2 linked regions of the Danio rerio genome follow. The protein of the gene in region 1 interacts with the protein of each later gene in a pairwise test. Links are inferred from orthologs where the notes say so. Each region holds a gene or a part of one and is shown in the gene's direction. Other genes may lie near its edges.

Region 1 (4,742 bases):
ATTAAGTTAACTAGGCAGGTTAGAGTAATTAGGCAAGTTATTGTATATCGATGGTTTGTTCTGAGGACAGCCAAAAAAAAAAAAAAAAAAAAATAGCTTAAAGAGGCTAATAATTTTGACCTTAAAATGGTTTATAAAAAAACAAAAACTGCTTTTATTCTAGCCGAAATAAAACAAATAAGATTTTCTCCAAAAGAAAAAATATTATGAGACATACTGTGAAAATTTCCCAGCTCTGTTAAACATCATTTGAGAAAAATTTAAAAAGGAAAAATAAATCAACGTGGGGCTAATAATTCTAACTTTAATTGTACATATAAAATCTTTTTCAGAATCGGTGATAAATATTATTGTTAAAGCTTCACTTTTTGTGTTTTTTTTTCTCTTTGGTGATTTATCAGTCCATCAAGTGTCAGTCTCACGCACTACATAACAATTGTGCCAAAATGTGAACAAAATCAAAGGTTAATGTGTAGTGTTGTAATGGCTACCTTTTCTGTCTGGTCAGGTGCATTTTCATTCTGCTCCAGTCCAGTGGAGCCGCTGATGGACAACTTCATGGTGCAGTGCATGCTGGACAACATCACTGATGCCCTCATTTACTGCATCAGTAAATCAGGAGCGTCGCTGCAGCTGCAGTCCCGTCGCCAGGCCCAGCTCCTGCTGCTGCTCTCACACATCAGACACATGAGGTACATTGAGAGTCACACACACATAACTAAATTTACACTACTAACATCAGAAACCAGATAAAGGACCATTGAAAAATGTTCAGTAACATTTCAGATGTTTTCTTTCTTCTAATAAATACTGTATTCGACCATCATAATACAAATAATATAATATTAATAAGACAACAAAATGCACCAAATCAGCATACTGGAATTTATGATAGATCAATCGACACAGAACTAACCTAATTAACAAAAAAAAACATAATTTTTAGACAATAGAATATAAAATATTTGTTTTGTATTGCTTATATCCAAAGCAAGAGCAATGTTACTGAGAACAATAGAAATAATCAAACAAAATACCCCAGGGCTTTGAATAATTTTATACTTGACTGTATATAAATATATACAGAAATGTTATATAGTAAAAAGAGAATAGATAAAAGTGTTGGTATTACAATATATATATGTGTGTGTGTGTGTGTGTGTGTGTGTGTGTGTTAAAATTAAAAGGTAGAATAGATCAAGTAAATCCTTTATAATATTGTCTTTAATCCTGCCTTTATTATTACCTTCATTAAAAAAATCTACTAAAATGTATTTCATTACACATTATGATACACTATCCAATAACCCTTTATTAATCCATTAATAAATAATAAAAAACTATTACTTTTTTGGTTGGAAAAGGTTTACCCTTTAAATTGGACTTTCTTGTCTTCATAAAGAACAATTAAATGGCGATATTGTTGCTGAATTATTACAGCATACATTACAGTCACACACACTCTATATCTGCATTCTTTTTTGAAAGCAACAAAGGAATGGAGCACTTATACCGAATGAAATGTAAGAATCGAGTGCCGCTGTATGACCTGTTGCTGGAGATGCTGGACGCTCAGCGGTTCCAGTCTTCAGGGAAGGTGCAGCGAGTGTGGTCTCAGAGCGAGAAAAACCCTCCATCCACACCCACAACCAGCAGCAGCAGCAGCAACAACAGTCCAAGAGGAGGAGCTGCAGCCATTCAGTCCAACGGCGCCTGTCACAGCCATAGCCCTGACCCCTGACCTGTGCACTGCCACCATATACACATTATACACAATTTGAAGAGCAGAAATGAGGACTAGGACTTCAGTCTCTTCTTGTGCCTTACGAGAGTCTACTATTGAAACCGAGACATTCGAAAGAGAATTTGTTTATAGAAAAAAAAGTCTGTAAATAAGAATAAGCCTCCCAAACACTATATATTGAGGATCTATTTACGGTTGATTTCGCTCGGTTTTTGTGGAAGCTGATTACAGGAATTTGTTTTTCCCATACACTTGAGAGAAACAGAGAGAGATGCTAATTCATCTTTTATTCTTTTACAATTTGTGACCGTTTGACATCACAAACTCACTTAAAGCTCTCATACTGATCATATGGCAGTCAAAAAATACTGATTTAATTTTCAATAAATTAATATATTATAATAGTATATTAGTGTTAAAATAGTATTTTGTATTTTTAGAGTATTTTATTGTCATAAATAATGTTAATGCAATAGTAATTATCCATTTATGACCAGATATTACAAAGTTTTAAGAAACAGATCTGAAAATGAAATTTCCAACTTTTAAATGTTGAATGCAGAAATGAAAAAGTTCCACATCCACACAGTAGGCTACCAAAAAACAAGTAAATTAAGTTTAAACGCTGCTCTGATTTCCTCATCTACATTCTTTATAGTATAGCTTATGTTTGCATTGCAAAAAAAGAAAAAAAAAGAATGAATGAAGGGATAATTGTTTTTTTAACTACTCAAGTTCTTCTAGTTGATGCATGTGCCAACTTTTTCTTGCCAATCTTAAGCCAATTGTAATGTTTCGTTTTTAGTTCAATTTGGAATTTCCACAACTTTGGCAGAGATCGGGGGATCAGAGTGAGCGCTCCTACTTGGCCCCACCCTGATCAAGAAAGGCATAAATTAAAGCGCTCTGACTGAATTTTATGATTGGTCCAGTATTATTACTGACATGCTTAAATATTTTTTGTTTGTTTTTTGCTTTTACTTATTTTTATTGAATTCTTAATTTGTTAAAATATTAGCCTGTTTTGCTTTTCTTTCTTTTTTTTTTTTTAAAGATCCTGTTTACACACAATTCCCTAAACAGATTACGGACGTTGCTATTAAATGACAGTTTTTCATGTTAATAAGCTTTTTATCTAAAATAACATGAGCTCTGCGATATAAAGTGTGAACAGACAGAAAACAGCCCAGGAGAAAAGTTACTCTTAGAACAAACGGGGAAAAACCTGATTACTTGTAAAAGGGGCTTTATGTTAATGAAGTGAGTCTTTTCATTGCAATCAGGGATATATTATGGATCTAAATCCCTCTTCTATTTTAAACGTTGATATGTAATTTAATGGGGAAAAACTGCTCAGTGATCAGTGGTAACATTATAGCTGCATCTTATTTGTGCAAAAATGTTTACTTGTTGGTTAATATGAAATGATTTTTTTAATTGCTGTTCTTGTTACAGTGCTGTCTGTCATTGTTGATTTTATTGCTATCTTAACAGATTACTGCTTGAAAAGAAAGCCCAATTTCAACATTGTGAAGGTCTGAAATGAGTCTGTGGTCCACTTTTAATGCAGGAACTCACACTGACTGCCTTAGATTCTACTTTACATTCTACTGTCATATTTTGCTTCATATCCGTCAATGTGTTTGGTCATAATCCATTAGTCTTGTGTGCACATTGTATTTAGCAGCTCTTACATCGGATACTTGAATGTTACCATTTGTACAAACGTTTTAATTTTGGAGGACCTGAATGTGAAAATGTTCATGAAGCTCAATTAATTACACAGGAGTTAAAAAAAATTATAATAATTATCTTAAAGAAACTTAAAGGCACACTTGCAGAATTTATATATACATATATATATTAAATGAAAAGATTTGTCTTTATTGTCAGCATTAGCAAACTGTACATACATAAATAGGCATAAACATTGTAATCATAATTAATGTTTTGTCACATTTTCATTGTCATAACACACAAATTAAGATACAATAATTAGATATCGGTAATAAAAGCACGCGTCTCTCATGGAGCTACATCAGTTACTGTTTTACATTTTGGGATTTAAAAAAAGTAAATCCATGCCATAAAATAAAAATTTGAATTGCCATGCAAAATCTTATTTAAATAATAATAATAATAATAACAATGAAAATATTTTTTTCTACAGTTTTAAATAATAAAAAAATAAAAAATTAACACTTTTCTTAGTCTAAGCAAATAATTTTGGCCATTTTCGTGGACGGTATAAGTGCAGTACCTTTTGCGTATGTCAGTGCTATTAAATACATAATATATGATTTATTTCTCTTCCGTTTCTTTGTACAGAAGAGCTTCACCAGATTGACTGTCCAACACTAGTCTACATTGCAATGAGTTCAATAGTACGCATTTAGTGAAAAATGAAATTAGCAGCAGTAACTGTACAGGAACAGGAACATGTGTTCCTGGACATGTGGACAGAAACACATTCTGTGACCTGCAGTGAATTACAGGACGTATAAAAGCGTCAGTCAGTAAAATCTCATACAGGAGGTGGGCCATTGGTGTAGCGCAGCATGGGATGAAAAGAGCGAGCGAAGTTGTTTGCGAGGGTACAGCTGTAGTCCTGCTCAGTCATGGGAACCAGACAGGTCAGGCCCACTATGAGCAGCAGGAGGAGCTGCAGTGGCAGAGCCGCCCGGAGCACTCGCAGGAGGAAGGGCTGGCAGCGAACCACAGCAACGCCACCTTGTGACCCGGAGGAACCAGAGCGAGACGAATCGCAGCCAGAACCTCTGGCCAACCTACAAAACATCAGAACAATAATAGATGATCAAATATTAGGCCATTCAAATAATGAGCGCACACATAAATATTCAAAACTTGTGTTAGTCAGATTATTGTATGCTATTGAGTGATTTATTTTAAATAAATGCTTTTATTCTCAGCTTAAATTATTAAAAACATTTACAGTGAAACAAAATATAAACTTTAAATGAAAATTGAAAATTAGAAG
Region 2 (5,697 bases), on another chromosome or scaffold:
CATTCATTTTATTCATTCATTTTCTTGTCGGCTTAGTCCCTTTATTACTCCGGGGTCGCCACAGCGGAATGAACCGCCAACTTATCCAGCAAGTTTTTACACAGCGGATGCCCTTCCAGCCACAACCCATCTCTGGGAAACATTCACACACTTATTCACACACACACACACACACACACACACACACACACACACACTCATACACTATGGACAATTTAGCCTATCCAATTCACCTGTACTACATGTCTTTGGACTGTGGGGGAAACCGGAGCACCTGGAGGAAACCCACTCGAAGGCAGGGAGAACATGCAAACTCCACACAGAAACGCCAACTGAGCCGAGGTTCAAACCAGCAACCCAGCGACCTTCTTGCTGTGAGGCGACACTGCCTACTGCGCCACTGCCTCACCCATAACAATGATTATAATAATTATTATTACTGAATAAGTTTAAATGATGAATTTGTTTAATACTATTTTGAATATATTCTTTCAACCGAATCATGCTCATTTTATTTCATAAAGCTTTTAGATAATTATAAAAATAATAGCGGCGAAGCAGTGGCGCAGTAGGTAGTGCTGTTGCCTCACAGCAAGAAGGTCGCTGGTTTAACCCTCGGCTCAGTTGGCGTTTCTGTGTGGAGTTTGCATGTTCTCCCTGCGTTCGCGTGGGTTTCTTCCGGGTGCTCCGGTTTCCCCCACAGTCCAAAGACATGCGGTACAGGTGAATTGGGTAGGCTAAATTGTCCGTAGTGTGTGTGTGTGTGAATGTGTGTGTGTGTGGATCTTTCCAGAGATGGGTTGTGGCTGGAAGGGCATCTGCTGCATAAAAACTTGCTGGATAAGTTGGCGGTTCATTCCGCTGTGGCGACCCCAGATTAATAATGGGACTAAGCCGACAAGAAAATAAATGAATGAAAAATAATAATAACTAATCATGATAAGAATAATATTAATGATATACCAACAATAATAATAATTGGTAATAATAATTGTTGTTATTATTTTTATGCCTTAAAATAATAATAATAATTATAATTATTTACTATTATTGAAAACGTTTAAATAATGAATTTATTTAATATGATTTTGATTATAGGCCGATTCTTTAAACTGAATCATGCCCATTTTGCTTAAAAAACTTTTATATAATAATAATAATAATAATAATAATAATAAGAAGAAGATAACATGATAATAATAATAAGAAGAAGAAAAAGAAAAAGAATACATGATAATAATAATAATAAAAATGGTAATTCTAATTAATGATAATAGTTAATATTAATACCAACAACAATAATAAAGAAAATTGGTAACAATAAAAAAGTCTTGTTATTATTTCTTAAAATAATTATGGTCATTTTAGATAAGCCTTTAGATAATTACAATAATAATAATAATAGATAATAATGATAAGAATAATATCAATGATATATCACCAATAATAATAATTGGTAATAATAATTAATAATAATTGTATTTATTATTATGCCTTAAAATAATATTGATTATAATTATTTACCATCATTGAAAACATTTAAATAATTAATTTATTTAAGGCAATTTTAAATATATTCCTTAAAATGCCCATTTTGTTTCAGAAAACTTTTAAATAATAATAATAATAATTAATAACAATAATTTGTAATGATAATCATTGATAATAATAAAGATGATGCAATTTGTTATGATCATCGACGAAGCCACTTACTTTCTTAAGCTTTATTTTATTTTATTTTTTTATTATCTAACAATACAATGGCTATGTCCGTGTTTAAACCGCAAAAATAACAATGATTATAATAAGGATGATAATAACAAAGAATGACGACTGAAAAGGACGTCGCTGCTGTTGGTTTCTAAATTGATCATTCATAAATCGATTCACCAGCCCAGTCCACTTTCAAGATCTAAAACCAGACCGTACTGTCGATTGCCGAGCCAAAAATCCCGATGTTTGTTGTCATTACGCTCTACATTTACTTTCAGATGAAGCTTTAATACACAATAAAACTACCAGGGGCTGGTTCGGATATAATCAAGATAAATGACTGAACCGGTTTGTTTTATTCACAGTAAAAGCCAGTTCTACTAATTCTAGCAGGTAAGACACCCGAGCTAAATTAGCATTTGAGGTTAGCGGCTAGCATGCTAAGACCTGTATGAATGGATAGTGTTCACGTTTTACATTTTAATTTATTTGTATTGATATTGTGTTTTTAAGAATTTACTCGTTAATTAGGTAATGATAAGACAAATATATCACATCTAAAATAAGTCTCTTAGGCTTTTTGGCACGGACATAATGAATGATTCAGTTAAAAAAAATTGTTTATGTGTATTACTAACGTTAGGTATTAAGACAGCCAAATATGTATGTCTTGGTTTGGTTTACTTGCATTTAGAATGGAAATAATGTTAAAATAATAGCAAATAACACCAATATAAAGTCATTCATCAATAAAACATTATAAAACATTAATATTTCGTTTTATTCCAGCAAATCTTCTATATGAGTTTGATCTTATATCTGTGTTGGCTGTAGACCAAAGGTGACCCATATGGACCCCACGTCCAAATCTGGGTTGAATCAGGTGTCAGATGTGGTGTTTGTCATTGAAGGAACTGCAAACCTTGGTCCATATTTTGAATCACTTCGGAATAATTACATACTGCCTACTATAGAGTAAGATTTATGACATTCATTACAATACAGTACATTTGTTAGACACTTGAACTGACTTATTTAATATATTTACAGGTATTTTAATGGAGGACCACCGGCTGAAACTGATTTTGGAGGAGATGTGAGTTGGAGGAGTCTGTTTATACCTTCTCTTTACATTTCTGCCATCTCAATTCTGATGATCTTGTTTGTTTTATAAGTATGGTGGCACTCAGTATGGACTGGTGGTATTCAACACAGTGGATTGTGCTCCAGAGTCATATGTCCAGTGCCATGCTCCAACCAGCTCTGCCTTCGAGTTTGTGTCTTGGATTGACAGCATTCAGTAAGGAATCCCATTGTAATCCTATTTTATGTCAGGAAGTCTGGGATAAAGGTTTTAAGTGAATGTCTGCTTTAAAGATATTGTGATTGAAATACTGAGAACAGTTTTAACAGTTTTTTTTTGTTGTTGCACAGGTTCATGGGAGGTGGAGCAGAGAGCTGCAGTCTTATAGCTGAGGGTCTTTCTGTGGCCCTGCAGCTCTTTGACGACTTCAAAAAGATGAGGGAGCAAATGTGAGTTCTTGAACTTGTTCTATGAAATCACAAATCTGCTTTTGAGGGTTTAATCAGCTTGCTTAAGGTATTTTAAAATGACTTTTTTTGAAATGTAAATACAAGAAAAATCTTTGAACACAGCACTATTTATAAAGATTATCAGAACAGAAAGCAGTTGAAGGATGGTGTGTAATAATCAATTATTTGTCTGACTCCACCATAATTAATCAAACACTGTTAAAGTTATTAACATCACTGATAAAGAGAGATAATCTTAAAGCTGTAAAAGAAAGAACATTTCATGTTAAGTTACATGTTTTAATATACAGACAGTAGAATGAAATATATCAACATTATTAGGGCTGCACAATATTGAAAATATGAGACATTGCAATATTTTTTGTTTTCTGTAATATATATAGCGATAAGAGTACAATTTCACCAGGTGAATTGAATAGCTCTATTTAGAAAGATTTTATTCATTTAGATAATATGATGATCAGGTCTTTTTCTATGCACTGCATATACATAAATTATTTTATATATATTCAGATGGAAAAACCTCTGAGTGCCGTCTGAAATGTTTATCAAAAGTTTGAATTTTTTTTTTCAGCTTTCTTTGTTTATGTTGAGATATTTCACTTTAAAGACCAAGAAAAGGTCTTGTTCTTTGCCATAAAATTGGTATTACTGAACATACACACAGGAGCCTGATTAAAAATGCACATTTTAGAGGACAATTTCAGACAGTATTTAGAGGTTTTTGTTTCTAAACTCTTTGTGTGTGTGTGTGTATATATATATATATATATATACACACACACACACACACACACACACACACACACACACACACACACACACACACACACACACACACACAATAGAGCCAGAAAAAAAGTTAAATAAACCATACTTTGTAATTTTCTGGAAAGTTTAACAGTATTTCAGGTACAGAAATTGAACAATCAAGCATAAAATAACATGGTCATCATTTCAATAATTATTAAAAAATAATATTTAATAATTTATCTTTAACTCTTTAATAAATAATTTAATCCTGCAATTTGACTGTTGCGGACACACACACTGTGATATTGATGCTCAAACAATATGATATGCTACCCTAAACATAATGTATACAAAAAAGCTTAGTTTTGATTTTTGCTCTGCTATGCAGCAAAGACAGAGAACAACAGATACATTTCTAGGCATGAGTGAAATACCATTCCCCAAAACCAGCTGAAATGTGAGGAGATAAAGAGGGGGAGATGTAAATATGCATTATAAAGTATGCAATATTATCCTCGGGTCATAACTAAACATTAGTAGATTAATCATTCATTAGAAAACATCAAATGACACTTAATGTGACAGAATGACATAAAAGGAGATCACAAGTAGATAAATTGTGTTTGGTGGAAAGCAAAGTATTGGAGATGTGAGATGTGAAGGAACTCTACCTCACCCAGATGACTCATTCTGTGCTTAGAATGTCCCTATAGTCCTTTATTAGCAAAGAAGGGATCATAAGACTTACATAGTCGTGAATATCATATAGTTAAAAATATAATAGTTTATCAGTCTACATTAATTTGTGCAGAGTTCTTTCCAGTACAACAAAACTAATGACACTGCATTTTTAAGGGATGCCATCATCATGTGCACTACATTATCAGTAAAATGCTGAAGACTAGGGCTGTATAATATATCAAACTAAAATTGATATCAAAAAAAGTGATGTTCACATTAGGGCTGTATGATAATGGGAAAAACTGAAATTGCGATAATGTGTTTTTCTGTGATTATTCATTGATTTATAAGTACAACTGATACTTAAATAGCTCTTTTTTTTAAAGAGATTCTCATTGTAAGCGAGCGTATCTATCTTTAAAATATTATATAAAAATATAAGCATAGCTAAAAACCTCAGAGCAAAGTATACAAAGGGAAAAACAGTGCTTTATGGTTTTCTAGAGAGTCTAAAAGAGCCGGGTACATGAATTGAATAATCAACTGTTATTGTTAAACAACTAAAATGTATAGTTTTAAATGTGTAAATGTTATATTAAGTAATATTTTGGCAACAAAAGTTATAATTTCTTGTTCCTTAATGAATTAATTTCACTGAGTGAAAACTTTCATTCTAAGGTTAAACTTTGCAATGACTCCACAATGCTCTGAGCTGTATATTCTGTACTGAACTGTAATGTGGTCAACTGTAATCTCAATATTGATGCTGAAATGACCTACTGGAGACAATTTTCCTATTATCACTGGTGATTCTTTGATTCTTTTGTTTCTCTATGTAGTGGTCAGACCCACAAGGTGTGTGTACTGCTCTGTAATTCTCCTCCATACTTGCTGCCAGCTGTGGAGAGTGTCAGCTATACGGGCTGCACCGCAGACAGTCTGGTCCAGATCATCCGGGATGTGAGTTTACACTTAGCTTCTTGGTTTATCTGTTAT

What was found.
Region 2: the proteins of esr1 (region 1) and med25 interact in a two-hybrid assay, tested with the Homo sapiens proteins (2 studies listed by BioGRID). The link is inferred for Danio rerio from reciprocal best matches to the Homo sapiens genes ESR1 and MED25.

The regions. Positions count from the first base shown.
Region 1 is NC_133195.1:29,072,839-29,077,580, reverse strand, and holds the end of esr1 (estrogen receptor), read left to right. Parts: intron 1-508; coding exon 509-692; intron 693-1,488; coding exon 1,489-1,741; 3' UTR 1,742-3,290; downstream 3,291-4,742.
Region 2 is NC_133178.1:29,271,740-29,277,436, reverse strand, and holds the start of med25 (mediator of RNA polymerase II transcription subunit 25), read left to right. Parts: upstream 1-1,927; 5' UTR 1,928-2,106; intron 2,107-2,502; 5' UTR 2,503-2,563; coding exon 2,564-2,688; intron 2,689-2,763; coding exon 2,764-2,809; intron 2,810-2,888; coding exon 2,889-3,013; intron 3,014-3,147; coding exon 3,148-3,246; intron 3,247-5,540; coding exon 5,541-5,661; intron 5,662-5,697. UniProt on the Homo sapiens protein: Component of the Mediator complex, a coactivator involved in the regulated transcription of nearly all RNA polymerase II-dependent genes.